Sus scrofa: one gene and its partner. The protein of the gene in region 1 purifies or fractionates together with the protein of each later gene. This does not show direct contact. Links are inferred from orthologs where the notes say so. Each region holds a gene or a part of one and is shown in the gene's direction. Other genes may lie near its edges.

What was found.
Region 2: the proteins of RBM28 (region 1) and REXO4 purify together in Homo sapiens (affinity purification with mass spectrometry; 3 studies listed by BioGRID and IntAct, with this or other methods). This does not show direct contact. The link is inferred for Sus scrofa from reciprocal best matches to the Homo sapiens genes RBM28 and REXO4.

What each region holds. Positions count from the first base shown.
Region 1 is NC_010460.4:20,054,570-20,070,706, forward strand, and holds the end of RBM28 (RNA-binding protein 28), read left to right. Parts: intron 1-408; coding exon 409-544; intron 545-1,527; coding exon 1,528-1,592; intron 1,593-3,797; coding exon 3,798-3,956; intron 3,957-7,076; coding exon 7,077-7,226; intron 7,227-7,514; coding exon 7,515-7,589; intron 7,590-10,426; coding exon 10,427-10,683; intron 10,684-11,289; coding exon 11,290-11,389; intron 11,390-14,062; coding exon 14,063-14,197; 3' UTR 14,198-14,590; downstream 14,591-16,137. UniProt on the Homo sapiens protein: Nucleolar component of the spliceosomal ribonucleoprotein complexes.
Region 2 is NC_010443.5:273,012,886-273,029,122, reverse strand, and holds the start of REXO4 (RNA exonuclease 4), read left to right. Parts: upstream 1-7,169; 5' UTR 7,170-7,343; coding exon 7,344-7,568; intron 7,569-9,103; coding exon 9,104-9,468; intron 9,469-12,457; coding exon 12,458-12,595; intron 12,596-12,728; coding exon 12,729-12,922; intron 12,923-14,201; coding exon 14,202-14,290; intron 14,291-14,923; coding exon of another isoform or gene 14,924-15,031; exon of another isoform or gene 15,032-15,057; intron 15,058-15,069; coding exon 15,070-15,144; intron 15,145-15,872; coding exon 15,873-15,947; intron 15,948-16,237. Other genes in the region: ADAMTS13 (A disintegrin and metalloproteinase with thrombospondin motifs 13), read right to left, coding at 1-40, 162-286, 548-631, 2,576-2,751, 4,405-4,471, 4,798-4,896.

The sequences.
Region 1 (16,137 bases):
TCTGTGAAGTGGAGCAAATGTTTGAGAAAGTGTGTAAATGATGGAGAATTTTTCTGTCTATTCTTTAACCAGGTATAATTTAAGCTACCCTGTATTGCCATGGTCTCTTAAATTCTCCTGAGTAAACACTACCATTTCATTAGTTTTCTTTAGACTACCAAAAATTCGCCTGTTTATAGATCATTTCCCTCAATTTAGGCCTACTTTGTTCATTTTAAAATAAACGAACACGTGGCCTTCGCACAGCTGAACTCTATACCATTAGGCTCAGTGATCCCTTGCAGCCAGCTGGGCTAAAACATCTTGGGGTTTGGGTTCCACAGCATAATTGGGGTTTGCTGTTTTCCCTTTCCTTGGTGTTCCTTGTTACTCATTGTGGGTTTTAAGAGGAAGGTTGCAATCTTACAGGGTGGTGGGCTCAAACTGGATGGCCGTCAGCTCAAGGTTGACTTGGCAGTGACCCGTGATGAGGCTGCAAAGCTCCGGACAAAGAAGGTGAAGAAGCCGACGGGAACTCGGAACCTCTATCTGGCCCGAGAAGGCTGTGAGTAGTGGCAGGGAGACATGAACCAGGCTTCTGAGTAGCTGGCCCCTTGCTGTGACAGTGACCCCAGCAACAGTACGTTTGGGGCATGTTTCCAGCTAAAAATAAAAACCCTATGGCCTCTTTAACAGTGATATATTGTAATTCCACTTTAGCAGATGGGGCTTTCTCTTAGGAAGCCTTCACCCAGTTTGGGGATGGCCCAGTCCTGTTCTTCTTTCTGCCTGCTTGCCTTTGGACCTTTCCATCAGAGGATTAGCAGGGCAAAGAGGGAAGAAGAACTCAGATTACCTTTGCCTCTTGTCATCATTTCTGATAGCTTTTGTGAGGGAGTTGAAAATTAAGACTAAAATTACTCTTTTGGATTATTCATGGATTTTAATTATGCAATGAATACCTTTCCCTTCATGTCAGAAAGATAATCAGAAATTAGCTTTAAGAAAAGAGAAGAATTCCTTCCTCTTGGTCACACAGTAGTGCCATCTGCTGCACAGCTGCACAGCCTGGACTAGGAAGTGGGAGGCTGTTGGCCTTTGAGACTAGGCCCAGTGTTGCGATGTGGCCGTTTTCTAGGTTCGCTTATCTCACCACTGAGAATGGCTGCCAAATACATGAGCAGTGAAATTCCAAGGATGGCTTATAGGTAGAACATGTTTTGCATTCCAAATGCCTGAACTGCACTCATTTCCAGAACTTCCTCTAGTCCTTTCCGCCTAGGCATATTCATGAAATTTTTTGAGGGGAAGGAGAGGAAAGAGGAACAAAATCACAAAATGTTCAGAGTTTTAGTCCTTGAGAGCAACTCACAGACAAGAACTTAGCCCTGTAGCCTATTTCTGGCCCTACCCAGATGCCACTATGTCCTGGCCAGCATAGTCCTCTGGGCCCTGTACAAAGAGCTTGCATCATTCAAATCACATTCCTCTTATTGCTCAGTGAAAAGTCCCTTGCTGATGTCTTGGCCTTTTTCCCTCTTTCTGCAGTGATTCGTGCTGGGACGAAGGCTGCAGAGGGTGTGAGTGCTGCTGATATGGCCAAAAGAGAACGAGTGAGTAGATTAGGCACCAGCCTTTAGGTTCTGCGTGACTTCATATAAATCAATCAATGAGAATAACTGAATGTAGGAAGTGCTCATCAAAGAGCCAGGTATCGGTCAGAGGTGCTCCCTACACTATTGTTAGAAAATAAGCACCCAGCAGTTCCCGTCGTGGCGCAGCAGGAATGAATCCGACTAGGAACCATGAGGTTGCGGGTTCGATCCCTGCCCTTGCTCAGTGGGTTAAGGATCCGGTTGCCGTGAGCTGTGGTGTAGGTCACAGAGGTGGCTCAGATCCTGCGTTGCTGTGGCTCTGGCGTAGACCATCGGCTACAGCTCCAGTTAGACCCCTAGCCTGGGAACCTCCATATGCCACAGGTGCAGTCCTCAAAAAGACAAAAAAAGAAAAAAGAGATTAAGCACCCAGCTAAAACAGCAAGTAGCCTAGCATTGTACATAATATGGCAGCATTACATGTGATTATTTTCCTTACACTCAGTAGTAAATGTTTGCTAAATAGTCTGCTTCTAGATCATGGGAAACTTGAGCTGTATGTAATTAGGTATCAATATAAATGCAGAATAATATAAAGAATATCAGAATGGGCTAGAGTTAGGAAATGAGCTAATTCTGTGTAGATACGGGTCTTGAGAGAGTGAAGATGCCTGATTTTTTTGGGGGGGGCAGTGTGGTATCTCCAGATTATAAAATCATTTTAGGAAAACTATATTGTGGCATTTCCACTGATAACTGATACTATTGAGATCCTTTGCTGCTTGGTAATGTCTATTCCAGGAATTTTTACTTTTGCCTTTATAGCTTATATTTAAAAAGCTAAGCCAGTCTAGAGTGGTAAAGATTCATAGTCATTGACAGGATTAGCTATATAACCTGAAAGTGCAGAAGACGGTGGACAGAGATGAGACTATAGTGACAGCAAGGGCAGCATGTCTTTACTGGGTAGTTTCTAGATAGTGTTCTTGAATTTTTTTGGAGTGAGCATCTGGGAATATGATTTTGGGGGGCATTGTATCCCCTTTTCTGACCACAATGTGATGGTGACACATTTAATTTTCCCTTAAAATGGATTTTTCTAGCAAAAAACTCACTGTATACCTTTTAAATCCCAGTAGGCACAGCCTTTCCTGAGAGAAAAGTCACGCTGTTGAGTTTAGGGGTGATAGCCTCTTCATTTAGCCCTTTAAGAGCGTTCCTGCCGTGGCGAAGCACGTTAAGAATCTGACCGCAGCAACTTGAGTGGTTGCATCGGCATAGGTTCAGTCCCTGGCCCAGCTCAGTGGGTTAAAGGATCCGGCATTGCCACAGCTGTGGCGTACGTTGAGCTGTGGCTCAGATTCAGTCCCCGGCCCAGGAACTTCTGTACGCTGTGGGCTCGGCCTTTAAAAAAAAAAAAAAGTCCCGTAAAATACTTGTTTCCAGAGTGTTTATTTTTGTGATTTTTTTAGGACCTTCACCAAACATGAAGCAGCAGGAATAAGACTTGATAAGAGAAAAAATTTAAAACTTTTCTCTACTGATCTAATTTTAACAAACAAGTCAGGAGAAGAAAGTCATCCTTTCACTTTAGAGACAGATTGCCTGGGACTTGTGCTTTGTGTAGCATAGTTGAGCCTCTAACAAGCAGAATTTGTTGCTATGGCCATTGACTTTTTTTGCCTAAAGGTGGCAGAGTTGAGACAAGGCAACATTCTTTCAAGTATTTAAATAAATTCCATTTTCTTTTGGAAGGACTAAACAATTAGTTAAGAGTTGGTGGGTAGGTAAGGGCTTGACATAGATGTTAACCACAATATTTTTTGTTATTTGCTCTGGGCCAAGTTTGAAATTGGGATTTTGTGCATATTACCTCATTTTGGCCTCACTCAGAGATTGATACTATATTTTGATCTATAGTTCTGCTCTGCGGGTGAAGTTATTGAGGCTTAAATGGTTTCATGTGACTTCTCCAGTTAGGGTTGAATTTCTAATTCAGTCTGACTCCAGAGCCCATGGTCTATCTAATCACTTGCCCACCGTCTTGGCTCCATGAACCTTTCTTTCCCTGTACTGGGCATCAGAAAGCAGCAGAGGGGTTGATTTCCCTCCTTTCTCCTATATGTTATTGGATAGGTTATGATTCTTTGCTGTTGGAATTATGAGCTTTTATTTGTAAAGGGATTGGATTGTAATGTATTTAACAATTGATTGTTCTTTCAGTTTGAGCTGCTGAAGCATCAGAAACTCAAGGACCAGAATATCTTTGTCTCCCGGACCAGGCTGTGCCTGCATAATCTCCCAAAGGCCGTGGATGACAAGCAGCTCAGAAAGCTGCTGCTGAGTTCCACAAGAGGGGAGAAGGGAGTGCGCATCAAGGAGGTGAGAAATTTTTTAAAAATCATTATAAAATTTTGTTAAATTTTATAAAAATCATTATAAAATTTTTTAAAAAGAGAGAAAACTATGTCTCAATTACTATGCCTCGGAACTTCCGTTCTCATCCTGGGTCAGAGCAAGTGTAGTTCAGGCTATGCTGCTAGCAGATCAACAGATTTTCTTTTGGACACATTGTCAGCAGACAAGCTGAGTTCGCCAGTTTTCTTTTCTTTTTTTTTTTTGTCTTTGTTGTTGTTGTTGTTATTGTTGCTATTTCTTGGGCCACTCCCGCGGCATATGGAGGTTCCCAGGCTAGGGGTTGAATCGGAGCTGTAGCCACCGGCCTACGCCAGAGCCACAGCAACGCGGGATCCGAGCCGCGTCTGCAACCTACACCACAGCTCACGGCAACGCCGGATCGTTAACCCACTGAGCAAGGGCAGGGATCGAACCCGCAACCTCATGGTTCCTAGTCGGATTCGTTAACCACTGCGCCACGACGGGAACTCCCAGTTTTCTTTTTTATTTTTCTTTTGGCCACACCCATGGCATGCAGAAGTTCCCTGGCCAGGAACCAAACCCATGCCACAGCAGTTATTTGACCCATAGCAGTGACAATGCTAGATCCTTAACCCACCGAGCCACCAGGAAACTCTGTTCATGGTGTTTTGACTTAAAAAAAAAAATGTATTTCCGTATTTTAAGAACTACCTTTCACAGCTGATAAAATTGTAGCAGAATGTGGGGGAGTCTCTGCCGTCGTGAATTAATTTAGCAAGCATTTTTTGGGTACCTGCTGTGTTCTTAGCATACCAGGTACTGTAATGTTAATTTTCTTGCAGAGAAAATAATCTGTGTGCTTTGCTTTTTTTTTTTTTTTTTTTCTCTTTGCTTTCCAAAGCCACACAACCTACACCACAGCTCACAGCAACGCCAGATCCTTAACCCACTGAGCAAGGCCAGGGATCGAACCCACAACCTCATGGCCACTAGTCGGATTCATTTCCACTGTGCCACGACGGGAACTCCTGTGCTTTGCTCTTTAGAAGAGCATATCTCTACCATTTAGACTCTTCCCCAGTAGTAAGAGGGTTCAATGCCCTGCAGTGAGCACAGGGAGCCACCTGGGTCTTCAGTAGTTGTGTTGGACAAACTCTGGTTTCACACTAAGACTTTGTTGTTGTTGTTGTTCTTTTGTCTTTTTAGGGCCACATCCACCACATACGGAGGTTCCCAGGCTAGGGGTCGAATCAGAACTGTCGCTGCCCGCCTATGTCACAGCCACAGCAACGTGGGATCCAAGCTGCATCTGCGATCTACGCCACAGCTATGCCAGATCCTTAACCCACTGAGCGAGGCCAGGGATCGATCCCACGTCCTCATGGATTCTATTCAGGTTCATTAACCATTGAGCCATGATAGGAACTTCCTTACACTAAGACTTGGTTAGGCTCTGAGTGAGTACAGAAACCTCTGCTCTGTGCCCATAGCACTGTGTGCATACCTCTGTCATAGCATCTACTGCCACACTGTCCTATAATTATCTGTCAGTCTTTGCTCCCAGCCAGACCGAGCTCTTTGAGAGCAGGTGTTAGCTCATTGTTCTCAGTTCCTGGCATAGTAATTGAGACATAGTTTTCTCTCTCTCTTTTTTAATTTTATAATGATTTTTATTGTTTTCTATTACAGTTGGTTTATAATGTTCTGTCAGTTTTCTGCTGTACAGCAAAGTGACCCAGTCTCACACACACATATATATATATGTATTATGAATCTGCTTTGCTCTGATTCGTCAGCATAAGCTGTTTTCCTACTCCTGGAAAGTCTCTTAGAACGTATGGTACTGGTGTTTAGGGAATTACAGGAGAGACTGAACAATATCAGCACACGGCTGATACCACTTTCAATAAAACTGTTCAAAATGTTACTGGCAGAGGGGTCAGTTGTGTAATCTCTCATCAACACCCACAGTACTTAGGGTCTGCCCATTTAAAATGTGTCATCTTTTAAAGAAATGTACATGTGTTTTACATTATTTGCATTATGTTGAATTTTCTCTTTCATCCTTTCAAATGTGGAAGTATAATATCTCAGTAAGACAGTAAGCCTCTTGAGGATAAGGGCCTCATTTTATGCTTTTCTTGATGTGCCTAGAGCATATGGCACAGTTCTAGGCACAGAGAAGACATGGGCATGGACCAAATGCAGCATCCAAGCGTCTCCAATATCTACTTTATCTGACAACTTTAGCTTCCAGGAATAAAAACATGTAAACGATCTGTTTTTCCCAAATATCCTACTGTTCCTGGGTGCTCCAGGATGCCTCTCACAGCTTAAGGATTTCGGGGGAAGTCACATCAGAGAGGAGCTGAGCTTTGAGCAAAGGCAGCTAAAGCTTCTTCCTGAGGCTGTATGTTGGGCAGCATCGTCCCCATGCCTGATCTGTCTGTCTGTCTTTTTCTTCCTTCCTTCCTTCCTTTCTGCTGCACCTGCGGCATGTGGAAGTTCCCAGGCCAGGGACTGAACCCGCACTGCAGCAGTGATCTGAACTGCTGCAGTGATAACACTGGATCCTTAACCTGCTATTCCATAGCAGGAACTCCCTGAATTGTCTTTCTGATTTAAAACCACGAGGTCTTCATCCTTTCCTTCTTCACTAATTTCCTTTCTGAGTGCTTTCTTCCGTGATGAGATCTGTAGACAGCGCTTCCGCCTCAGTGCTAACTTATACAACCTCGAGTACCACGTACCTCTTACCTAGTATGTATTGTCATCTCAACAGTTAGCTTTTGTAATTTTTCCTTGGAAGGTTTATTTTGCTTACATGCTTATTCGTGGGTGTGTGTTGATGTCTATAAACTCTCAAAAAACAGGAAAATACCTCATTTGTTTGCTTCTCTCAGTAGGTGTCTTCTAATAAAGACAGGCATTCCTAAGTGTTCCACCAGTACAGTTCTGGTGGTGACGATCTAAATGGAGACTGTTCCAATAACCTGACTTTTTGGTTTTTTGTCTTTGGTTTTTTGTTTTTGTTTTTTTCCCATAACCTAACTTCTTACTGAAGCTGTTAAGCATCTTCATCCTGTAATTACTGATTTTTTTCTTATTCTGCTCTACTCGTAGTGTCGGGTGATGAGAGACCTCAAAGGAGCTCATGGGAAAGTTAAGGGTCAGTCCTTGGGCTACGCCTTTGCAGAGTTCCAGGAGCACGAGCATGCCCTGGCCGCCCTGCGCCACATCAACAACAATCCAGAAATCTTTGGGCCTCAGAAGGTGAGTCTCCTCCTGTGGGGAGACATTTGCAGAAAGCCCTCTCACATTGGCGTGGTGGGTGAGAGTGGCAAGGGAGGGAGTGAGCAGCCGTTCAGGTGGTAGGATGATCAGGAGGAACCCTGAATGGGATCGGCTGCCTGCAGAACTGGCCCCTTGGCTTCTAAGGGGAGTGAAGTAGCAACAACCTCTGCCTTGCAAGAAGGCGGGGAGCGGTGGGGGGGACATCTCAGCTCATTGCATGCGCGGATTAAGAAATCTAATGAATGGCTTGCTTTCTCCTTCTGCCAGAGACCAATAGTGGAGTTCTCTTTGGAAGATCGAAGGAAACTTAAAATAAAGGAAATGAGGATGCAGCGCAGCCTGGTACAAAAGGGAAATTTTTTGGGGTGGGGGGCTTTTTAAAATTGTAGTAAATAACATGCATGTCCCATAAACCTTATTATTATTTTTTAAGTGTGTAGTTAGAACAGTTTCTTTGATGCCATGTTTAGACTTTGTTTTGTTCAGTTCAGTTTGTGTTTCTGCTCCCTTGGTGTAGGTCTCTGCCTTGTTAGGTTCCTTGTTACCCTTTACCCTTAGTCTCCTAGAACTCTGCCGGCTGTCTCTCCTCTGCTGGCCTGGCTTGTGATAGCTCCACAGGAGGAGGAGGGAGGAGAGGGGAGACCCAGCCTGATGTTATTACCAATGAGCAGTGCTTGTACTGTAGGGTTTCATGATGTATGTGTCAAAAGTAATAGCCAGAATTAAGTGCTACTTGTTCTATAGAGTTCAGCTATCTCGTCCATACTTCTTTTTGCTTCTTGGATGGCTCCAAAGTGTGATGCCTGATAGTTTCAGCACTGTTTGTAATCTAGTAGAGTATAGAGGAAAGAACAGGGACTTTGGGGCCAGGAATACTCACGTTCAGACTCAGGCTCTGCCGCTTTCTGAGTTCCTTGGCAAGTTATTACTTATTACCTCTCTCAGCTTCGGTTTCTAGTTTGTAAAACAGGATTGACATCATCTGTGTTACGTGGCTGATGGGGATTGAATGGGGTAGTAGTGTAAGTTGTCTCACACACCACATGGTCCATACAGAGTCAGTACTCATTCTCTTACCCATCTTGCCCCAGGACATGGAAGGCCAGGTTATACTTGATACCATAACTCTTACAGATCTCATTGATGTTATGCCTTAGCTTGTAAATATACCAAACATTTGCTGTGTTTTGGTGTCCTTCAGGTATATACCATGAGCATGACCTATAGGAGCAGTGGTTAATAGAACGGTCCTGGGTTACCTGGGCTCTGGTGATTATTCAGGGCAGCTTTGTTATTGCAGGTATAGAATTATTTACTGCAATTCAGGTAGCGTTATTTGTTGCCTACACTTAGGCACATGCTGATCTTTCTGTGTAAAAGTGTCCCTTTTCCCTGACTCAGGGATGCTGCTTCTCGGTTTCCATATTCAGATCAATCAACTGCACTTCCTCAAGTACCATTTTCCCACCTCTCTCAAAAGACTTTTTTACTTGCACTTTCATGAACTTCCTTGAAATCGTCTTTAGTTTTTTACTTTATGTCTTAGCTCCACTAGGCTGTGAGTCCTAAAAGATGGACACTTCGGTCTATCCATCTGTGCCCTGACTGCTTAGAAACAGAGACTGGCACATCATAGGCATATAATCTTTGTTGTATCAGGGTACAGACAGAATAATACAATTACTACATTTATTTCACATGAATCTTATTTTTCTTCTCCCACCAATGCCACCTAAATCTGTTATGTAGTTTTTGCTTTCCATCTCAGGTCATCTTTTCTTTGTCTTTATTTCATTTAACTTTTTGGTTTTTTTTTTTGGTCTTTTTAGGGTTGTACTAATGGAATATGGAAGTTCCCAGGTTAGGGGTTAAATCGAGCTGCAGCTGCTGGCTTACGCTTCATCCACAGCAATGCCAGATCTGAGCCATGTCTGTGACCTACACCACAACTCACAGCAATGCCAGATCCTTAACCCACTCAGCGAGGCCAGGGATCAAACCTGCATCCTCATGGATGCTAGTCAGGTCTGTTACCACTGAGCCACAATGGGAACTCCTTATTTCATTTAATCTTCTTTATGTAGATTTGAGTTTCTAACATCTGTCATGTTACCTCTCTCAGTAAATTCATGTATTATTTCTTAAGGTCTACCCGTGATAAATTTCTTTAATTTTTGCTTCTCTGAGAGAGTCTACTAATCCTTCAGTTTTGATGAGTTCATAGATCAAAATTCTAGGTTGGTGGGTACAGAATTCTCTCATGGATACAGAATTCTAGGTTGGTGATTTTTTTCCACCCAAACATTAAATATTTGACTCTGTTCTCCTCTTGCTTACTTGGTTTCTGAAGAGAAATCCAATGTAATCTTAACTTTGTTCCTCTGTAGGTAAGGTATTTTCCTTGCCTCTGGCTTCTTTCAAGATTTTCTATTCAGTTTTCTGCTGTTTGATATATTATGCCAAGGTGTAGATTTTTTAGTATTAATCCTGTTTGGTAGTTGGCTGAGCTTCCTGGATCTGAGGTTTAGTGTCTGTCCTTACGTTTGTAAATCCTCGGCTCTCACTACCTCAAATATTTCTTCTTTTCTTTCTTTCTTTCTTTCTTTTTTTTTGCTTTTTAGGGCCTCACTCACGGCATGTGGAGGTTCCCAGGTGAGGGGTGGAACTGGAGCTGCAACTGCCGACCTATGCCAGAGCCACTGCAATGCAGGATCCAGGCTGCGTCTGTGACCTAAACTACAGCTCACAGCAATGCCGGATCCTTAACCCACTTAGCAAGGCCAGGGATTGAACCTGCAATCTCATGACCACTAGTCAGATTCGTTTTCACTGTGCCACAATGGCAACTCCTTTTCTTTCTTCTCATTTCCCTTACACATTTGTTATACCTTTCTTTATAATTATCCCGTGCTACTGGCCTTTGTTTTCTGCTGGCTTTTGAGTTTTGGCTTTCCCTCTATTTCTGCGTGTAGAAAGGGAAGTGGTGCTTTTGGGTCCCCACCCAGAAACTGTGTTACTATTTCAGGGCCTGTGAACTACTTGCATTCTCTTTCCTAAAATCTCTGACTATTTAGGGGAAGAATTTTCCTTCTTTCACCAAACTCACTCCTCTTCTGCTGAGTATTTCCAACACATAAACCTCATCCAGAAACCAAAATGGCATTCTCTTGTTTATGCAGCAAAAAGTGAAATCCAAGTCTGCAACTGGTGAGCCCCAGCAGGAGCCACCAGAGATGGGGAAAAAACAGCAACAGAAAGCAGCTCAGAACCACATGCAGGAGCAAAGCAAGGCCCCCGTGGAGCAGAAGGGGAAGGTGGGCTCCGTCTCGTGGACAGGGTTCCAGACCAAGGCCGAAGTGGAGCACGTGGAGCTGTCTGATGGAAAGAAGAGAAGAAAGGTCCTGGCGCTCCCCTCTCACCGAGGCCCCAAAATCAGGTGAGATGCAGGACAGCTTCTGAGGGGTTTGCTTTTGCTTTGCCTTTTTTCCTCTTTGTGGCTTTTGTTTGGATGAAAGGGATGTTTCGTGTGTGCCAGTCCCATGTGTAGCGTTGATGCATAAGTATCTCCACATCAGCAGAGAGCTCACTCTTGGACCAAATGGAGGCCAGAACAGGGCTGGCAGAGGGCGCCTCAGAGGAACCTTCCAGCGTGGGCTTTTGTGCCATTTTTCTTCTCTTCTGAAGAGCTTCCTCCCGTCCAGATGGCCGGCCGCCTCTGGTAGCTGAGGCCCACTTACCTGAGGTTCCCTTGTAGTTTCTCTTTGGGACAACAGCTTAGTGGCTATCCACAAAAGTCGGTCTTTACAAAATAAGTGTTAAAAGTAAATGAAGGTTTTTGAGGTTTTAAGCCAGAATGAAAAAAATAGGTATACAGATATTGAGTCCTAGGATGTTCTGTTGCAGTATCCCTTTTTAGCATGACTTTTCATGGGCTTAGAAAAAGCCAGTGTAAGAAAAGGCATTTTATTTTCTGGGCTGAGAAAACCTCAGGGGTACCACTTAGAGGAAGAACTCAGGGTGACCCTTGACCGTATTGTTGCAGGTTGCGGGACAAAGGCAAGATGAAGTCTCTCCCTCCCAAGAAGCCAAAGCCCCAGATAAACCATTGGAAGCAAGAGAAGCAGAAATTATCTTCCAAGCAGGTGAGTTCTGTAGGGCCCGAGGTTTGGTATGTATGGCACAGTTCTACCAGGGATGTAGCCACTTTTGTGCCTTAATCTGTTGAGCAAAAGGAAAGGGCTTCTAAATTGCAGTTATGTACAGGGTTGCATCTTTTTAAAGGATATAGAGATGCACAGTCCTAAAAGTGAGAATGGCATTAAGATGAACCCCATGTATTAGTTACTCTAGTTCAAAAGTATCTTGTTTTACTTAGCAATCCCCTCTCCCCCCTGAGTATATTGTAGCAGATTCTACCTCACTTGTAAATGTGCCTCATGTGGAAATGAGGAATATTGCTCAGAAAAGTATCTCAGAGTGCCTCTGCAGCCAATCAGGCCTTAAACACACATACACACAAACATACATTATGTCATCATCACAGCTAATGAAATTAAGAAGAAGCCCTTAATATCTAATAAGCAACCTGTATTAGAATATCCCCAGTTGCCTCAAAATATATTTAATACTTTTTTTTAGTTAGTATGAATCAGGTTCCAAACAAAGTCGACATTATATTGGGGGGGGGTTTGGTGAGGGGAAGGGCACGCCCACAACATGTGGAAGTTCCCAGGCCAGGAATCACCCAAGCCACAGCAGTGACAACACTGAATCCTTAACTGCTAGGAACTCCTGTATTTGGTGTTTAAATCTTTTAGGTCTTGGGTTTTTTTCCCCTATAGTATCCAGTCTTCCTTACCACCTACCTTTATCTATGCTATTAATTTGTTGTTGAAGCCAGGCCCTTAGTCTTTTAGAATATATTACTTTTTTTTTTTTTTTTTTTTTTTTTTGCTTTTTATGGTTGCACCCGAGGCATATGGAAGTTCCCAGGCTAGGGGTCAAATCGGAGCTACAGCTGCCGGCCTATACCACAGCCACAGCCACATCAGATCCGAGCCGCGTCTGCGACCTACACCACAGCTCATGGCAACGCCGGATTCTTAACTCACTGAGCGAGGCCAGGGATCAAACTGGCAACTTCATGGTTCCTAGTTGGATTCATTTGTGCTGTGCCACAACAGGAACTCCCGAGAATATATTACATTTTGAATTTAGCTTCTTTCTTCCTTGTGCTATCATTTAATTTGTTCGTCTCATAGTCTGTATTACCTACAAACTGGTCCTTAGATCTAGAGGCTTGATTAGATTCAAGTTGTTTGCTTGACAGGAGTATTTCATAGGCAGTGCTGTGTACTTTCAGTTGCATCACACCATAAGATGCACAAGTGTCCGGTTGCCCCATTTTTCGTGATGCTCTGACTCCTCAGTAGGCTTAGGGATTGTCTGCCTTCTCCCTCCATTTGTGAAGCCTTCCATCAACCTCCCACCTGTGGTCCTAGGGGACCTGTGGTCCCATTGATGATAGTTACCTAGATCCGTATCTCAGTGTCAGCTGCAGAGTGGTAATCCTCTAATTTCATCAATGCTTTTGCTTTTTTTTTTTTTTTTTCTTCTTTTTGGGGCCACACCTGTGCCACATGGAAGTTCCTGGGCTAGGGGTTGAATAGGAGCTGTAGTCGTTGGCCTATACCACAGCCACAGCAACTCGGGATCCGAGCCACATCTGTGACCTACACCACAGCTCATGGCAACGCCAGATCCTTAACCCACTGAGCGAGGCCAGGGATTGGCCCTGCATCCTCATAGGTACTAGTCAAATTTGTTTCTGCTGAGCCACAAGGGGAGCTCCCGTTTTTGCTTTTTTTTTTTAAGTAGAATTCTAGAAAAAAAGAATCTTTTTGTCAGCTGTTTGGTTACCATGAAATACCATTGTATAGGATAAGCAGGATAAATGCTTGATTTTTTCTCTTTTAAAATCAGTTTCCAGGGTAATGGGTTGGTGCCCTACCAACCTCTCTGATGACCAGTAATATTTTTTTTTTTCATCTTGTGATTTTTGAGTTTTAATATACAGTCAGATGCAGTCATTATTCTTGTCCCATCTGAGGCCAGCAGAAGCCCATTCAGGTTGACTTCTGAGTCCTTCTGACATGACCCCGTCTTTGGTAGCATCCTTGCTTTCCAGTACAGCCAGATATCCCAGCCATCTTAGCTGCTTCTCTGCCAGTCCTGGTATTAGCTTCCAAGGAGTCCTGGTTCTTTTAGTAGAAAATAGTGGTTCTGTATTCTTGATCATTTAACGTCAAACTTTCTTTTTCCCTCCCCTAGTCCCTTTCTTTTAAGGGTATAAGAAGTGTTAGTTTCTCATTTTTACTCCAGAAATCTGAGTCTCTGAGAAGTCTCTCGTTCGTCATATTATCTTATGGAGCCCATCCTATGTCATAGAGAGCTTTCTCTGGAACCCCGTAAGCAGTGTTCTTGGTGAGGGAGCGGGCTGGCGAGACCATGCAGACCCTGGCCTGACTCAGCGGCGAGGAGATTCACGTTGAGCATTTGGGAGCTGGACTAGGAGAGGCCTCTGACACACCCGAACAGTGTTTTAGTGGGGCCTTTTCTCTTAGGAATACCTCGTCCGATTTCTTACCAATGGATGATTCTTTTGGGGTCACTCTCTGGAAGACCCTCTTTTGGTGGACAAGGTCTTTGAGCCCATTCATTTTTTTCCCTCAGGTGGCCTGAGGGTAAGGTGATTTTAATGCTTGAAACTTATGTTTATGTTTAGTATCTTATATTTCCTTACCTTTCATTTGTAGGTGCCTAGGAAAAAAGCTCAGGGAAATAAGACAGAAATTCGCTTCAACCAGCTGGTCGAACAATATAAGCAGAAGTTATTGGGACCTTCTAAAGGAGCTCCTCTTGCAAAGAGGAGCAAATGGTTCGACAGTTGATAATGCCAACGGACTGGATAAGGAGCTGGATTGTGTGCTTCTTGGTGAAGCCCCCCTCCCCCCATGTCGTTTATTGCGGGAAAGAAACCACTGAGTGCCCTGCCACTTTGTTGGGGGCCCCTCTGGGCCGTGCGCATCTGAACTTGCGTCTCTCCCTGGTGTGCGGTTAGTTAACCAAGAAGAGGAATATCAGAAAGACATCATGATGCTTCTTGCATGTTTCGTGCGAAGGTGTGTCTATAATTCTTACGCATTTTAATTCTTTGTTTCTCAAATGGTAACAGTTATAAAAAGCATTCTTTAGTGCTGAATTTTTAAGATGTATATTTTGTTAAGGATCTTATTTAAATGAGATATTTTATGGCTTTTCGAGTAACAGACTCATTTCTAACATGTGAATCCTTTATTATTTATAAATGTGTTTGACCTTCCTAACTCTTAATTCAGTCATGTAGTCCTACATACTGCAGGGATTGATTAAGAAAGAGCAGAGAAAGATGATTTCCCAGCTAATCTCTGAGGGTGGGACTTGGAAGGTCATGGAGGGCATGGGGCCTGGCCGGAGCACCGCCTGGCGTTGTTTGCCAGAGGAGTGGGTGATTATGGGTCATTAACCAGCAGTCAGTTGGCAGCAGCCCCCAGACAGTAGCCTGGCTGGTGAGCACCTGCGTTGCCTCTTGCGACGCCTCCTCCTGCAGACTCAGGGAGTGGGTGGTGGAGAGAGCAGTGAGTGTGCGGCCAGAAAAAGAGCTGGAAATACAGCACAAAGTTCTTAATTCCCTAGTCTCTGATGCTGTAATAAGTGATGCTTTCTTCAGAACCATTGCTGACCTACGGATGTAGCTATTTCATTGCAGAGTCTTAGGAAACCAGTGAACGCTCAGAACGCCCTTAGTTGGTTAAAAGATGGAGAAAAGAGAGACCAGGAAAATAATTGGAATTTTTTGGAGAGAACTAAAGGTCAGGGGCTCTGTCTCTACAGTTGCCTTGAGACGGTGTGACTTAGGGAGTTTGAAACATTCTGGCAGCAGCTTAGCAGCCCATCAATGCTAGGGTGGCCTGTCTCTGTGGGGGAGTCAGCACTTTATTAAGGGGGCACTTAGAATATCCACAGCCTGCCTGGCAGCTGAATGTGTTTTCCCTTTGCCAGCTGTCTGCTCACCAGACACTTTTTCCTCTCGAGCACAAATATCTATAAATTAACATTGGAAAATTATCTTAACATTTGGGATAGATAAAAATTGGTGTTTATTCAGACAGCTTTGCCAGATTTTCTTAGATCCAGATATTTCTTCTGACAACTTTAGCAACCCACTGTGTTTAAAACATCATTTAACTGCTCAAAAAGTTATTGCACAGTTCTCTAAAAAATTAGCCAAATCATCCACTTTTCTCAACAACCAGGTTCCTTGTAGGGTGTCCTTTGGGACACCTCACCACGGGTTATCTGGGCAGCTTCTTAGGCTTGCTGGGAATATTAATGCAACATGAATTGTGCTCACTTCCTCACTTTGGAGCCTGATTTTTTTTTTTTTTTTTTTGGCTGTATGTGGAATTTGGAAGTTCCCAGGGCCAGGGATTGCACCCATGCCACTGCATTGACACCTGATTCTTAACCCACTGAGCCATTGGGGAACTCCAGAGCCTGATGTTTTATGAAATAGAGTTCTCTGAATTAAACATGAAGATGGAGTTACAGACTGCTTGGTTAAAAAGCAATGATAACAAACATTTGGTTAACATCCAGGACTGAAGGCCATCAGTCAACACTGTCAAGTTTCAGTAGATTTTCCTGCTCGCTTACACAGCAGCCTGGCCCAGAGATTGGGGCGGGGGGCGCCCTGCACCTGGTAGTTTTGAGGACTGCTTGGATCCAAGGTGAACCGTCCCTTCCTCCAGCCTTAGCCTGCGGCAAGGATTGTGCTTCATCAGCTGACTTG
Region 2 (16,237 bases), on another chromosome or scaffold:
CCGAACCTGCCGGTTACCATCGGGCAATTCCAGGTCAAACCTCAGAAAGAAAGAACAGACACCTGGGCAGTGCTGAGGTGCCTGCCCGCCGCCGGGCCACCTTTGCAGAGAGTGGGAGCGGCTCCCAGGGCGGCTGGGGCACCGGCGGGGAGCTTGGGTACCTGGTGATGTAAAGGACGAGGTCGGCGTGGCTGGGATCTGCGTCATCCTCGGGATTGACCGTCCTGCTCCACTCACAGACGCTCCGCAGGGATGCGGTGATGTTGGCTGTGATATTCGGAGCATCCTGGAGGACCAGCCACAGAGCGCACCCTCAGGGGACCCACGCCGAGCAGGGTGCTCCCGCTGCCAGCATCTCGGTCAGCCCCGTAACAGCCCGATTCCTGTCCCACGTTACAGATGAGGAGACAGAGGCTGAGTGCCAGGGCAGAGCTGGAAGAGGGGAGCCCTGCCCTCACCCCTGCTGCTCTGTGGGCACCCACAGGCACAGGTTCAAGTGGGCGGAAGCAGGTTCCCCAGGGGGCTGGGTGCCCAGCCCAGCGCCTACCTGAGGCTGTGTCAGAATAACCATCTTCACCAGGTGCACGCGGAACTGAGCCCCCAGGGACGGGTCCCTCAGCAGCTCTGACCCCTGTGCAAAGGCAGGCAGAGAGGTGGGCCGGGGTCCACCATGGGCGGGGCGGGGGAAGCCTGGAGACTCTATCAGCTGAGGGGAGGGGTACCCAAAATGCCACTACTGGGACTGGGAGCCACCACAGAGACAGCCGCATCTGCTGGGGGCCCCCCTTTGCTCACAGCTCGAGAAGGCCAGCCAACACCCAGAACCTCGAAACAATGGACTGCGTATAATTGTCATGAGTCTAGAAGGCGCTTTGACTCCAACACGGCTTCTCTTCAACTGGACGCACCCTGTCCTCTCTCATCTCCGCCCATCTCCCCAAAACACCTCTCTCACTTCTGCCCCCTTCACCCGAGGGCCGCCTCCCGCTCCGTGGGCCCCTTCCCAGGCACCTCGATGAGAACACCCCCCACTCGCCCCCAGCCAGGCTCTCGTGGTCCGTCTGCCAAGGTGCCAGCTCTGTTCGACTTGTACCGCGGTTGTTTGCACCAGCCTGTCAGCAGACTTAAGAACAATGCAGCGGGCACAGGGTGGGTGCCCCGTCGTGACACTGGCCGTGACCATGCCTGGCACCATGTAGGCAGGCGCCCGTCTACAGTCTACCACCTGGCCACCCTTGGTCCTCATAAAACATGTCGAATGACCAGAGGAAGTGTGGTTTGATTACCAAATTCCAGCACATTCGAGGTGGGGGAGGGCCTCCCAAAGCTTGAAAACCACAGCTTTCAAATGACTTTGAATATGTGCCATTTCTGGGCGTGCAGGTGGAGACCCAAGCAGGCTGACCCTGGCCTTGAACCAGCTTTCCCAGGGTTTGGGAGCCCGTGGGTGTAGCATCTGGGACACAGCCTCCCTTTGGGGTGGGAGACCCAGAGAACACCTGGGAAAGGAGAGGGGTCAGAGTGCCCGGGGCTCTGTGTTTGGGGGATATTTTCCTTTTATCCGAGAGGGGTGGGCAGGGAGTTCCCATCCTGACTCAGGGGTAACAGACCCGGCTAGGATCCATGAGGATGCAGGTTCGATCCCCAGCCTCGCTCAGTGGGTTAAGGATCCTGCGTTGCTGTGGCTGTGGTGTAGGTCGCAGACGTGGCTCAGATCTGGCATTGCTGTGGCTGTGGCCTAGGCGGGCAGCTACAGCTCTGATTAGACCCCTAGCCTGGGAACCTCCATATGCCTCGGGTGCAGCCCTAAAGAGACGAAAACAAAAACAAAAAACCCCAAAGAGGTGGGCATTCGTGAGGCTGGGGACAAGGACCCCATATTCTAGGACAGCTGCCCAGCCCTCCAAGGCCAGCGTACCAGGGGAGCAACTCTGGCCCTGCCTGCCGCCAGTGGTCGTATTAATCTCCTGATGTTTGCGGACACTGACCTGGTGGCCTGGAACACGTGTGTCTGTGTGTTTCATGTGTGAACACGCGCGTGGCCAGGCACAGCCCATCAGGGAAACGGGGTCATCAGGTGCCTTGCGGTCACCTGTTTCTGGGCTGCCTCTTGGTCTCTGAGATGATGGAAGCTGGGCTTCCTACCCCACTGTTACCCCTAAAAGCTAAGTGCAGAGGAGGCCTGCAGACATGCGGGCGCTGAGAAAGCCCAGCGGGGTGCAGCCCTGCTGGGCACCCGGGCAGGGCCAACCGAGGTGCCCACAGATTGATGGGGGGTGAGGCCGGGTGAAGGGACAAAAGCAGAAAGAGGCTGTGGGGGGCACTGCCCAGTGTGTAGGGGGCAGATAAGAACAGGCCACACCTCTCCCACCCCAGGCCCTGAGCCCTACGTGTGACCCCAGGCTCAGGTCCATATCCACCAGAGAAGCCAGCCCACTGACTCTTTTTGCATGAGCCCTGGGTATGGGGCACTGTGTCCACAGGCTCCTGAGGGCGGCCACAGTGCCACCAGGGTCCCAAGCCCTCTCCTGGGTCAGCGTCGCCCACAGAGCCTGTGCCCCATGCCAGCACTGACCATGTTGAGGTTGGTGAGCACGTAGCGCTCCGTGTCCTCCTGGTGAGCCTGCTGGACATCGGGACCCACGGCCACCAGCAGCTCCAGGTGCAGGACGCTCCCAGCAGCCCGTCTCCAGAGGCGCCGGGCAGGAGGGCGGCCTGGCGAGGTGGGTGGCGAGGCTGACGGCGAGGGTCCTGGAAAGCAGGCCAGAGGTGGGGCCAGGCCCCTCCATCACCCTTGGCTCCTGAGCCTGGAATCACAGTGGCCCAAGCCCCAGCTTTGTCACAGGGGAGGTGGGGAGCCTGAGGGGGCCTGCCCTGCCCCGCACCCCACACACAGGGGAGCCGGGTGGGGCACTTCCGCCCTGGCCCACTTGGAGCTGGGCTCTCGGTGCCCGCAGATCCTCAGACACCCACGAACGGATGCAGGGTGGCCTTCTCGACTCCTTGGACAACCAGGCTCTCAGAGAGTGAGCGGTCCCCAGCTCTGGCATGTCACCCATGGGGCGACTGATATGACTGATGGCCCGGACAGCCACCTTGGGCGGGGCGGGGGGTGGGGGGACATTTCATCCTACCCCTCGGCCCGGGTCCCAGTGCTGACTAGGTGCTTCAGAGCAGCACAAGGCCCAGGAGGGAGCTATTGCGTGGCTTTATGTCCTTCTGGTCGCACCAAAGCCCCATCCAGCCCAGCCCCGGAGCCATCCTGCAGGCCCGTGGCAGGCAGTTCTCATCTTTGGGGCTTCAGGTTCCCACCCAGAGCGTGGGAACCATCAGTGACCCCCGACCTAGGGCCAAGGCTCAAGCCACGGGACTGTGAATGAGCTTGCAAACTGTGCAGGGCCGCTCAGAGGCGGGAGGTCTACCTGCCCCCAAAGCAGACACGTTCCCCTTTGGGGAGAATCGGTGGGGAGGAGGCCTGGCCTAGAGCCCGGAGTCTGGGTTTAAGTCCACCTCCTCCCAGCTCGATGCTGGGGAACCCGACCAGAGCTCGGCACAGCAGCCTCGCCTTGCAACACCTGTTACACGGGGGAACGGCTTGAACCCCGACAGGTGAGGCAGGTGCAAGCCTCAGTGGAAAGCAGGCGCCCAGGGCCGACCCCGCCCTCCTCCCCCTCACCCCAAGGTGGCCCCCAGAGCCTTGGGGACCCCAGGCTGTGGTCTCCTAGCGCTTCGGGGACCTGGAAGATGAGATAGACACGTTCCCAGCCCCCAGACCCCACGATCAGCCACCGGCCTCCAGCACTGCCCGCCCCATTACGGCCCCTGGCATCAGTCAGTGTGTATCTGACACGGACCACAAAGAAACCAGCCACCAGTGGGACATCCCCGATTTTCTCGACCCTGACCACTAGCCCGCCCTGCTCCCGTCCCCACCAGCCTTTGGATCAAGTTCACCAATGGCCCTGCTGGGAAAGGGGGCTGGCGCCACGGAAGAGTCCACAGACATGGCCCACGAGTGACAGGAAAAGGCTTTGGCTGGAGCTGGACCCGAGCGCCCATCTCGTCGCTCACAGAAGAGATAAATATTTACAGCCCCGGCCAGAAACCGCAAGAGTTCCTGAAAATCAGTCAGCCCAAAGGAGGCCCAGCTAATTAGTGACTGTTCCTTGGAGATACTGAGCAGAACCCCGGGGTCAGAGCCCCAGCTCAGCCCAGAACACCCAGACCAAGTCTTATCGACTTGGCAAGAAGTAATGGAATTCATTAGCGGGGCAACGACGACGCCAGCGACGGCTCTGACCTCCTCCCAACAGAGCCACCCAGGAGCCAAGCCCCCTGACCCAGTGGTGAGATGCCCCAGGCGCTGAGACACTCCCTTTGCAAGGACGATGCCAGGACAGGTACCTTCCAAGGCGGCAGCAGGGCCAAGGTAAGCAGTCACTTCCTCCGGCTCCAAAGCCTGAAGAAATAGCTGGAAGCCAGAGCAGATGAGCAGGGGAGGTGAGGGAGAGGGGGAGGTGGGAGAGGGACAAGGCCAGGAGGGGGCAGAGGGGAGTGGGGAGAGATGCGCCCCAGGATGCGAAGGCAGGCCGGCCACTCGCGTCTTTGTCCGCGTAGACCACAGACGGTGTCTGCTCTTTGCCGGCCCAGGGGACGGCGCTAGGCCAACCCCCTGTCCAGTGAGCCCACTCAGTCCCCTGAAGTCCAAGTTCAGCTTTGCTCCCCTTCCACCCAAGGGTTGTTGGGCAGCCCCCTCCTCTCCCAGGGGCCTGGCACCGCATCCGTGGATCCACCCACCTGCGGGAAACGGGAGAGCCCCCAGCAGCCCAGGAGGAAGAGAGACGTGAGGATTCCTCGCACGCATCGCCCCCGGAGGCGAAGGTCTCTCACCCTCATCCTCAGAAAGCCTGCTGGCCCGGCGGGGGGCGGGAGAGCCTGGCGGCTGAGATCTGGTCGGCGGCAGGAGTGTGACAGACCCGCTGCGCTGGACGGTTAGGCAGTGTTTATTCGCGGCACTTCCTCCCAGGGCAGGGGCCACGGGGCTGGGCGGCCTGCAGGCTCCTCCTGCCGCAACCTGGCCTTGGCTCAGAGCTGCAGTCCTGCGCCTGGGAGCCCGGAGCGGGGGAGGGGATTCATCACCCATGTGGGAGTACCCTGGCTCAGTCTGAGGCACCGCCCCGCCTGCTCTCTGGGAACCCTGCTCCCCAGGATCTGTGTCTCCAGTCTCCTGTCCTCACTCCCTCCCGCTCCGCGATTGCCTGGTCTGTGCCAGTCACAGAACCCGGCTGGGGGCATCCACTGCGCTCAGCATCACAGGCCACCCGAGGTCCGCTCCACTTGTAAGATTCATACAACTCTCTCCCACCTTCGGGGTGCCTCTCCCATCTTAGTGGATGGCTAATGGGGTGGGGGTGGGGGTGGGGGTGAGAATCGGCCTTGGTCCCTGCCTGCCTCAGCCCCCTCCTCAGGCTGGGTACCAGGGAAGACGCACCTGCCCATCCACCTGGGCCGGCCCACTTTGCAGCCTCAGGGTCAGTAGGTGTGAGGCACTCCCTGCCCCGCCCTTTACCTCCCGCAGGCATTCCACCCCAACTAAAGGCGTGCCTTCCCAACTCCATCCCTGGAACCGCTTCCCACAGACCCAAACCGACACGTGGCCCCAATCCAGGCTGCTCCTCGCTGGCCTGGGCAACTGGAATGGGCTCCCAACAGGGCTGCCTGCTCTCCCTCTCTCCCACCCCCCCATCCCATTTCATCACTCCCCCTCTTCAAAACAATCCATAGCTCCCCTTTCTCCTTAGAAGAAAAGGTCCAAACTCCATCCTGAGCCTCAGAGGCCCTATAATCCAAGGTTTGGCCCCTGTCCGGCCCTCTGCCTGCCTCCCCATCCCTCCCCCCTGTGCCCAAAGACCTGTAGCCCCACCAGCCTGCCTTTCATGCCTCAAATACATCCAATGCTTTGCTGTTCCCTCTGGCCGCTGGTCTGCTCAATCGAGTTTCAGCTCAAATGGCACCTCCTTCTAGGCACCATCTAAGTGCCCCACCCATTCCAGGGAGAGAAGGTACCACATTTAGAAGACAAAAATCAGGACAGTAGTGAAATTTGAATTTCAGATAAACAATGGATTTTTTTTTTTTTTCCTTTTTAGAGCCGCACCTGCAGCATGTGGAAGTTCCCAGGCTATGGGTCCAATTGGAGCTACAGCTGCCAGCCTCCACCACAGCCACAGCAACAGGAGATTCGAGCTGCATCTGTGACCTACACCACAGCTCACGGCAGCGCTGGATCCTTATCCCACAGAGCAAGGCCAGGGATCAAACCCATATCCTCAGGTACACTAGCGGATTCGTTTCCTCTGTGCCACAACAGGAACTCTCCGGATTTTGTGTGTGTGTGTGTGTGTGTGTTAAGTATGCCCCCAATACTGCAGCTATTATATGAAACATATTTATAAAAAGTAGACTTTATCTGAAATTCCTGTTTTTCTGGGCATCTTGCATCTTGTTTGGGGGCCTCATAACCCAGCACCTCATTTTATCATCTTGATTGTAGTTACTGCTCTCCAAGATTGTTGACTTAGTACCTGTATTTCCCCAGAGGCTCCCAGGCACATACAGAGACCGGAACCGAAGCTTCGGGGTGCAGAGGTCTAATGTAGGTTATTTACGAGGTACAGTCAGGGCCAGGCAGGTGTGCTCGTGAGTTAAAATAACAGAGAACGCTAAATGCAATGCTTCGTTTTTGTTATGGGAAATGGCAGCCCTATGGCTTTGGTAAAGCAGGCTGGGCGACCTGGGGACCCCCTTTCATCCCTGAGCCTCCGTCTCCCGTCGCAAAGCCGGGGGAGTCTGGGCTCCGCCTCCGGCGCTCCAGGCCCGGCCGCCCAGCGCCCCCTGGCGGCCGCCTGCGCCAGTGCTGCGCCGGCCCAGCAGCGGCGCTACAACGACGGCGGCCCCCTCGGTCCCTTCCGGCGCTCGCGTTTCTCTGCCCCGCGTGGGCTCTCGGTGCGTTCCCGCGCTTACCCCAACCTGATCCCGGGCCGCCGACCGGGCTGGCGGCCGTTTTCCTCTGGGGGACCGAGAGCTCCGCCCCGCTCCCGGCCGCGCGGAACCAGCGGCGAGGGCCGGGTTTCCAGCCGGCCTCGGAGAGACGAGCGCTTCCGGGGACCGGGACGCACGTGCGGAGACGCGCGCGGGGCGGCTTCCGGGGTCTGGAGCGCTGGTGTTTTTTCCCCGGGCCGGCGAGTTAGGGGCGGCGGGGCCCGTGCTCGGCGGGCAGAGCCCGGCTCCGGGGCCGCGGCGGCGCCGCCGTGGATGGGCGCGGGGGCCGGGTCGGTGCCGCGATGGCGAAGGCGAGGATGCTGGCCCCCGAGCGCGCCCCGGGCGACCCGGCGCCTGAGCCCGGGCTCGTCAAGAAGCCGAGTCGGAAGAAAAACAGAAAGAAAAGGTTCTGGAAGAACAAAGCCCGAGAAGCGAGCACGAAGCCGGGGAACGACCCCAGAGGGGTCGCGGTGCGGCCTCCAAAGGCACCAGAGGACTTTTCCCAAAACTGGAAGGTTCTGCGGGAGGTAAGGGCAGGGCCTCCCCGAGTGGAGAGAAGGAGAAGGGCTTGCGGGGCCCCGGGAGCTGCGGAGGCAGGCCGGAGGGAGCGCTGTGTCGGTGCTCGGAGTCTTTCACAGGCGGTGGCGAGCTCGGGGCGAGAGCAGAGCGGGAACCTGGGCCGGAGGATTCTAGCAACACTCCGGGTCTTTAATAGATGACAGCTGCCTCCAGGTGCTGAGCTCTTAAAACGTGCAGTCGCTGCTGGGTGATCCACGTGTGTTCTTATTTCACCAGGCGCAGGGACACGGTGAGGTAGAGGCCTTGGTCGTTCCTCTCCATCTTACAGATGAGAGAGCCAGAAACGTTAAGTAAATTGTCCAGGACTGCAGCTGGGCCAGTGGAGCCAGGAGTCAGATGCCCAAGTCCCTGTTCTGAATGTCACGTGGTACTTGCTGCCTTTCTCCGCATCAGTGGCCCAAAGTTAGGGCCAGGTTTCTGTCTGCTAAGTGCTGCTCCCTGTGCCTCCCTCCTGCACTCTCTCCACCTCCCTCGGAGGTAGCTGCTGTTATCACCTCTGTTTTCTAGGAAAGGGGGTGGAGGCAGCGTTTAAGAACTTGGCCCAGTGTCACAGCTAGTGGACGGCAGACTGAGGGATGCAGTCACTGGGTCAGATGTGCGTTTCTGCCCTTTGCTGCTACTGACCCTCAAAGTCCCAGAGTCAGAACAGAGAAGAGCTGTCCAGATAATAATTCTCCTGTCTTGACACACAGGATGATGAAATTCCATCTGGCAACCCCTGGCTTCCCTGATTTCTTGAACTGTAGTCTTAGGTCTTTCTCTCAAGAAAGTAAAGCAAAGTTAAGCAGGCAGAAGGATGTTTCTTGTGGGAAAAACCTTGCGTTTTCTCCGTTTATTACAAGAAAGTAAATTTCTCTTCTTTTTAATTTTTTTGTTTTTTGCTTTTTAGGGCCACACCTGCAGCATATGGAGGTTCCCAGTCTAGGGGTTGAATCAGAGCTGTAGCTGCCGGCCTACAGCAGAGCCACAGCAACACCAGATCTGAACCACGTCTGCCACCTACACCATAGCTCATGGCAGTGCCAGATCCTTAACCTACTGAGCAAGGCCAGGGATTGAACCTGCGTCCTCATGGTTACTAGTTGGATTCGTTCCCCCTGTGCTACAACGGGAACTCCACATTTCTCTTCTTTAAACATTAGAGAAACGGGTGAGTAGAAAGCAGCCTCATCCCTCATCTCAGCTGGTTGCTGTGTGGCAGGACCTTAACCGTATTGAGAATGGCCATGCTGAGGGCACAGCCGTGTCTTGTGGGCACACCCTGCCTTCCCAAGACCCTCACAGCAGTAGCAAACCAGGAAGTCTGATCAAGAAAGCGGCTTCAGTGGCCCAGCTTGTCGGCTGATCTGTGAGGGAATTGACTCTAAAGTAACTGTGAATGTGAAAACAGGTCGGTTTTACACACATACATACGAGTTTTTCAATCTCTTGTGTGTGACATTTGAATTAAAATGTGTCCCGTGTTTTCTTTGGGTTCCATCAGCTGCTGAAACCAAAGTCACAGGCCCTGGAGGAGTCTCTCGTTCCCTCTCGGCTGAATTCCAGAAAGCAGCCCCAAAGGGCCCAGCCCAGCAGAAAAGCGGTGCCAGACAGAGCAGAGAGGAGCGAGGTGGGGACAGAAAACACAGCTCCCGAGGCCAGCGGAGGCGCTGCGCCCTCACCGCGACTTCCGACGCAGAGGAAGAGGCCCGCCCCTCGCACACAGGCCGGCGGGCGGGCTCAGCACAGGGAGAAGGAAGCCAAGACAAGGACCAGTGGCGACATTTCTCCAAAGCGAGGAGACGTCAAGCATAAGAAGCGGAAAGCTAAGGAGGTGACTGCCCCCTTACCGCCAGCCGCGCCCACCGAGTAAGTGCCCGTGGGCCAGTGTGGCTGTGGGGACTGCCTCAGCCTCTCATCCTGAGCACGGTCGCAGCCGCCGAGGCCTTTCTCCTCATTTCTCATTTTCTCATTTTCTTGATTTTCGTTGTGGCCTTTTGTCCTAGAGAGGTTCCTTTCGCGTTTGTCATGCAACTGGTCTAGTGCTGCTGAATTCTCTTAGCTTTGGCTTATCTGTAAAGCTTGCGATTTTTCCTTCACATCTGAAACGAGAGCCTTGCTGGGCAGAGTGATCTTGGTTGGAGGTTTTTTCATCACTTTAAGTATGCTGTGCCACTCCCTTCTGGCCTGCGGGGTTTCTGCCGAAAGATGGGCTGATAACCTTATCGGGGTTCCTTTGTGTGTCATCTGTTTCTTTTCCCTGGCTGCTTTCAACATTTTCTCTTTGTCTTTCGTTTTGGTCAGTTTGATTAACATGTGCCTCGGGGTGTTCCTCCTTGGGTTTGTTTTATAGGGTACTTCCTGTATAGCTTCCTGGACTTGAGGGAGTGGTTCCTTTCCCATGTTAGGGAAGTTTTCGGCTAGTTTCTTTTCGAATCTTCTTTCTGTCCCTTTCCCCCTCTGCTCTTTCTGGCACCCCCGTAACACGGATGTTGGTGCACTTAACGCTGTCCCAGAGTCTCCCAGACCGTCTTCAGTTCTCTTCAGTCTTCTTTCTCTTTTCTGCTCTGGGTCAGTGATTTCCCCCAGCCTGTCCTCCACCTCGCTTATTCGTTCTTCTGCCTCCTGTGTTCTGCGTTGGTTCTTTCTAGCGAGTATTTTATCTTAGTTACTGTATTCCGCATCTCTGCTTGCTTAGTGGGTACATCTTCCATCTCATCAATATTTCTTGTAACTTATCAGCCTCCGCCTCCAGTTTATCCCCAAGACCTTGAATCGTCTTTAATATCACTCGTTTAAAGTCTTTGTCATGGAGGTTGGTAACCTCTAGATCACATAGCTGTTTTTCTGGGGTTCTTTCTTATTCTTTTATCTGAGTCATTATTCTCTACCTTTTCATTTTGTATAGATTTTTGGTGTGGTTTCCTTTCTGCAGACCATAGAGTTATAGCCTCTCTCACTTCTGGCGTCTGCCCCCCTTGTGGCTGAAGGGGGGGGCTTGCTGTAGGCTTCCTGATGGGAGGGACCGGTGCCTGCCCACTGGTGGGTGGAGCTGATTCTTAGCCCTCTGGCGAGTGGGGCTTTGTCTCTGGGTGAGATTGGAGGAGACTGTGCCTGGGGGTCTTTAGGAAGTCTGTTTGCTGATGGTGGGACTGTGATCCCACCTGGATTGTTGTTTGGCCTGGGGCTTCTCAGCCCTGATGGGTGGGGCCAGACTTTCCCAAAATGGCCACCTCCAGAGGAACGCGTGCCAGCAACGAATATTCCAGAGAACTTTGCCTCCAGTGTCCTTCCCCCACAATGAGCCACTGTCACCCCTGCTTTCCTGCTTCCCCAGGAGATCGCCCAAGAAACGCAGGCCAATCTCACCCAGATTCCTGTGGAGCCTCTGCTTTGCCCTGGGACCCGGTGCCCATGAGAGCCTGTGTGCGCCTTTCAGGAGCGGGGGCTCCGTTTCCCCCACTCCCACGGAGCTCCTGAGCACAAGCCCCACCGGCCCCCAAGGCCGAATGCCCCTGGGCTCCTTCTCCCAGTGCCGGATCTCCAGGCCTGGGAACCTGATGTGGGGCTCAGAACTCTCCCTGCCACGGGGGAGCCTCTGCGATACAGTCACTTCCCAGTCTGTGGGCTGCACGCCCTGGAGGTATAGGGTTGCTCATGTCGCGTAGGCACCCCTCCGACCATCTCCATGTGGCCCCCCTCGTCTTCTGGAGTAGGGTATCTTTTTTAGCAGTTCTCAGTCTTTTTGGTTGAGGCTTGTTCAGCACTTGGTTGTAGTTTCGTTGTCTCCATGAGACAAGGCGAGCCCCAGCCCTTCCACTCTGCCATTTGCAGGCCTCTCCTTAAGGAGGCCGAGGCGGGTGGCGCCTCCGTCCCCTCGCCCTGGCACTGTCTGTTCTCTGTCGTTCCTTTCCCCTGGGATGTCGGCATAAAGAAGCCCAAGCCCGCTTCAGACCTGCTGTGTCTCCACGGCCAGAACAGGGCTTGGAGCATCGCAGGCCCCCGGCAGCCACTGTGGGATGTAGGAACGCCGGAGTCAGGGAGACCCCCACTTTGGACCGGATCCCCCGTCTTGCTAGCTGGGCGGTTTGGGGCGGGCAGGCTCCTGACCTTCCCTGAGGCTGTGTGGTCATTGCTGCTGGTCTGTGAGGTGCTGCCCTGGGCTGGGCACTCGGGGCAGGGCCAGAGGGCAGTGCGGCCCTGGGAGGGCTCGGCTGGGCATGGCGTGTCTGTCAGTCCGCCCGGCTGTGCGGCTCTAGGTTCCGGGAAAGAATGGTTGGCTGCCTGCTGTGTACACGTCAGTGTGCCAGTCCCTCCCTCTCGAGGGGTCAGGCGGTGCCCTGGGTCGTGTCTGTACCTCCCTGCGTGTGGTCTGCACAAACCCAGCGAGGGAGACCTGGGAGCGGATGCCCGGGGGGGGGCTCTCAGGAAGTGCCGCTGAAGCTCAGCCAGAAAGACACCTCCCCCAGGAAGCAGTGTCCTCGGACGGGGGCGGGCAGGGAGGGGTCTGTTGACCTTCTCCAGTCACCCTGTTTACCCGCGTTGTAAATAAGAGAAACGTCCGCAGCCGTTACACCTGTGTCCTGTTCCTTGGGTCGCCCTGCGGTCCTGAGTTTTGACCGTACCTGGTCACTTAAAAAGGACGCAGTGGCGTTCCTGCTGGCACAGGGGGCTCGCCAGCTGTCGCTGTGGTGGTGCGAGTTCGGTCCCCGGGGCCCAGCGGGTTAAAGGATCTGGCGTTGCTCAGATTCGGTCCGGCCCGGGACCTTCCGTCTGCCACGGGTGCGGCCACCAAAGAAAAGGAAGCGCAGGCCGGGGCCTGACAGTTCTCGTTCCGGCTGCTCTCCCCGCCCCCCAGAGCGGACATCTGGTTTGATGACGTGGACCCTGCAGACATCGAAGCGGCCCTCGGCCCCGAGGCGGCCCAGGTGGCCCGGAAGCAGCTGGGCCAGAGCGAGAGCGGTGTCACGCTGGTCAAGGAGCGGGCCTTCGACGGGTACGTGGGGCCGGGGGTCTTCAGGAAGGAGCTGCTTCCCCTTCCCCCGCTGGGCCGGGCAGCCCCTCTCGGCACCCTGCTGAGACCCGGGTCCCTTGGCCTGGATTCAGCCGGACCCTTGGTTCCCCTGCAGCCTGACGAGAGCCCTGGCCCTGGACTGTGAGATGGTGGGCGTGGGCCCCCAGGGGGACGAGAGCATGCTGGCCCGCGTGTCTCTGGTGAACCAGTTCGGGAAGTGTGTTTATGACAAGTACGTGAAGCCGACCCAGCCGGTGACCGACTACAGGACGGCGGTCAGTGGGATCCGGCCCGAGAACCTGGCGCAGGGTGGGTTCCCAGCCCGTCTCCGAGGCGGGGGGGCCCCCGCCTGCTTCCCTCCCCCTCCGGCCATGGGGCCTCCCCCGCGGGCGCACGGGTTCTGCTGGCTCTGTGCCCGTCCCACCCGTCTGCCTCGCTGTCTCTTGGCCCCTCGACCTTAGGACAGGGTTCCCGAGCTGCTCTGAGTCCCCTGGCCGTGGGGACAGAGGAAGGAGGTGGGGTGGGGTGGGGAGGGGGCTGGGGAGGCGGAACAGGCTGGAGGGCCTCGGGCCTGTGCGAAGACTTGGGAGGTGGTGAGCCATGAGGCCGGTCTGGCCCGGCTTCTAGCAGGTTCCTTCTGGTGGTGGTCTCGGGAGTAGGTTGTAGGGGTTGGGAGAGGGGAGCAGGTGTGAGCCGGAGGTGACCCTAAAAGGCGAGGAGCATGGCCCGGCTCTGGACGGGGCCAAGTCCGCAGGCTTTGCCAGGGGACAGGCTGGGCCCAGGGACCAAGAAGCACCTGGGAGGCCATGAGATTTGGGGCCAGGAGACCCTGGAGGCCAAGGCTAAAGGCCCCCTGTCCTTGGCTCTGCTCCCCGCACTGGGCCCACAGGCAGCCCAGCCCTGACCATGTCTCCATCCAGGCTCTGCCGGGCCTGCTTGATCAGGGGCGGGCAGCCACTGGGCATGAGTGCTGTGCTGCAGCCCTTGCCTTTGGGGGCCCCGAGGGGTCCGCTCCGAGAGAGCAGGCAGGGCCACCCGGAGCCCAGGGTCTGGAGCCAGGCTTCTCAACATCTGCGGCAGGGGACTCCCACTCCTTGTTTGCATTTCCAGTTGAAAAGACACCAAGCATGAGTCTGGGTTCCTCCCTCCCTCCTTTTTTTTAATGGCCGCACCGGCAGCATATGGAAATATGGAAGTTGTCAGGCTAGGGGTCAAGCTGGAGCTTCAGCCGCCGGCCCCCACCACAGCCGCTCCAGATCTGAGCTGTGCCTGCGACCTACACCACAGCACATAGCAACGCCAGATCCTTAACCCACTGAGTGGGGCCAGGGATCGAGCCCCCATCCTCATGGATACTGGTCAGGTTCATTAGTCACTGAGCCCCAAGGGGAACTCTGAGCCCTGGTTTATTATTGTAGATTCAGCATTGGTCTGTCTGGGGGCAGTGAGCATGCTCCCTCCACTTCTCCCCACCTTTGGGGGGCTGGGACAGCCCCCCGGCCTTGGCATCACCCCCCTGCTGGCCTCTTGGGTCCAACCAGGGGCAGGGGCCGCCCTCTCAGAAGTGGTCGACTTGTCTGTTTTTCAGGAGAGGAATTTGAAATCGTGCAGAAGGAGGTGGCAGCCTTGCTGAAGGGCCGCATCCTGGTGGGACACGCGCTGCACAATGACCTCAAGGTACAGGCTCTTGGCGCTGCCGGCCTTTCTCGTAACTCAGTGACCGGGGTGGCCCTGCCTGCTGTGTCAGCCTGGCAGAGCTGGGATCTGAGTCCCTGCCCACCCATGAGGGCAGCCAGGCACTGCATCTGCTGCCCATGGGCCAGCTGGGAGGGTCCCCCTCCTGTGCCCCAGACAATGTGGCCTCAGCCTTTGCTCTGTAGGGTCCCGGCTGTGGGCAGTGGAGACGCCTCCCTGGGCCCAGGGTTTCTCAGTGGTCTGTGGAAACCGATGTTTCAGGGACTCAGCAAACTGGTCTTAGTGCCTTTTAAAAGTAAACTTCGAACTGATAAAACCTAGCCGGTCCTCTGCCCGCTGAGATGCGATTCATCAAGGACAGCCTCACCTCGGAGGCCCCCGTGGCTCAGGCTCCCTCCTCGCGCCCCCTCCGCCCCTGGTGACTCCAGCACGTCCTGTATAAATAGCCTCTCCTGGGGCCTGTCCTGAGGTCACCAGGTGACCTTTCATGTCTGACTTCCTGAACGTGCAACAACTCCAACCACGCGGAACCAGTTGGCTGCTGGCTCCTTGGCGGCTTAGTCACCGGCTTCCCCCGTGTCAAGGCTGTGGTTGTATCCCCTTGGTTCTTCCCAGGGATTTTCCCTCAGAAGCTCAGGCCGGAATCAGCACTTGGTTTTAGGTGTGTGTGTGTGTGGGTTTGGGTGGGTGTGTGTGTGTTGGAGTTGGGGGGGATCACTGTAGACAAACGGTGAAACGCCCGTCACGTTTTCGGCCTCCAGGTGCTGTTTCTGGGTCACCCGAAGAAGAAGGTCCGGGACACGCAGAAGTACAGGCCCTTCAGGAGCCAAGTGAAGGTACTGGAATCAGCCGCTCTGCCAGGAGTGGCCGCAGGCCTGACCTGCCAGTCTGGTCCTGGAGGCCAGCTCGGCGGCTACAGGTGTTTTGGCTTGGTCTTTCCTTTTAACCTTTAAAACTGAAAGAAACCTTAAAAGAGAGAGTTTGGCTAGAGTTCCCGTTGTGGCTCAGTGATAATGAACCCAACTAGTGTCCATGAGGACGTGGGTTCGATCCCTGGCCTCGCTCAGTGGGTTAAGGATCTGGCATTGCTGTGGCTGTGGGGTAGGCCGTCAGGTGCGGCTCCAATGCAATCCCTAGTCTGAGAACCTCCATATGCCATGGGTGCGGCCCTAAAAAAGGACAGACAGATAGAAAGACAGACAGCATCCGGCTAAACGCCGTCTTTCAGGTTAGCGTCTCCGAGGGCAGGTGAGTTCCGCTCTCTGATAGCTGATTGGGCCCCCGGCGGCGGGTAAGAAGCCGCTGTCGTCTCTGTTCCAGAGGCAGAGTCCCCCTTTGGAATGAGCACCGGAGCCCGAGGCTGGACAGCAGAGGGGCGGTGTCCGTCCCTGCTCCTCTGCGGGCTGACCGGGTGACCGCTGCCTTCAGGGCTGTGGGCACTTATCCATGGAAGGCGCACTGAAGGTCCCTGGGGTTGGGGCTCTGCGGGTGCCCCCCTGCCCCGAGCTCCAGCTGCAGAGGCCACACCACAGCGGGGCTGTGTCTGCTCTCTCGCCCCCTGCAGAGTGGACGGCCGTCTCTGAAGCTGCTCGCCGAGAAGATCCTGGGGCTCCCGGTGCAGCAGGCGGAGCACTGTTCTGTAAGTGTGTCCTGGTGACAGTCCTCGGGTGGGCGCGGTGTCACCTGATGGCGAACACTGGGCCTGGGGCGACTTCTGCTGTGGGAGAAGCTGCTGCGCGGGTCCCTGCAAAATGACACGGCTCAGCGGGCCTGCACAGCCCTAGATGCTAAACGGCCGCCTTTAACTAACACGGAGCAGACGAGACCTGCTGGCACATTCGACTTGGAGCCAGGGCCCCTGCTCTGGATCGAAGGCGTGGGCTCCAGCCTCAAGCTCCGAGCCCCCCCCCCCACCCCGTCCCTCCGCCT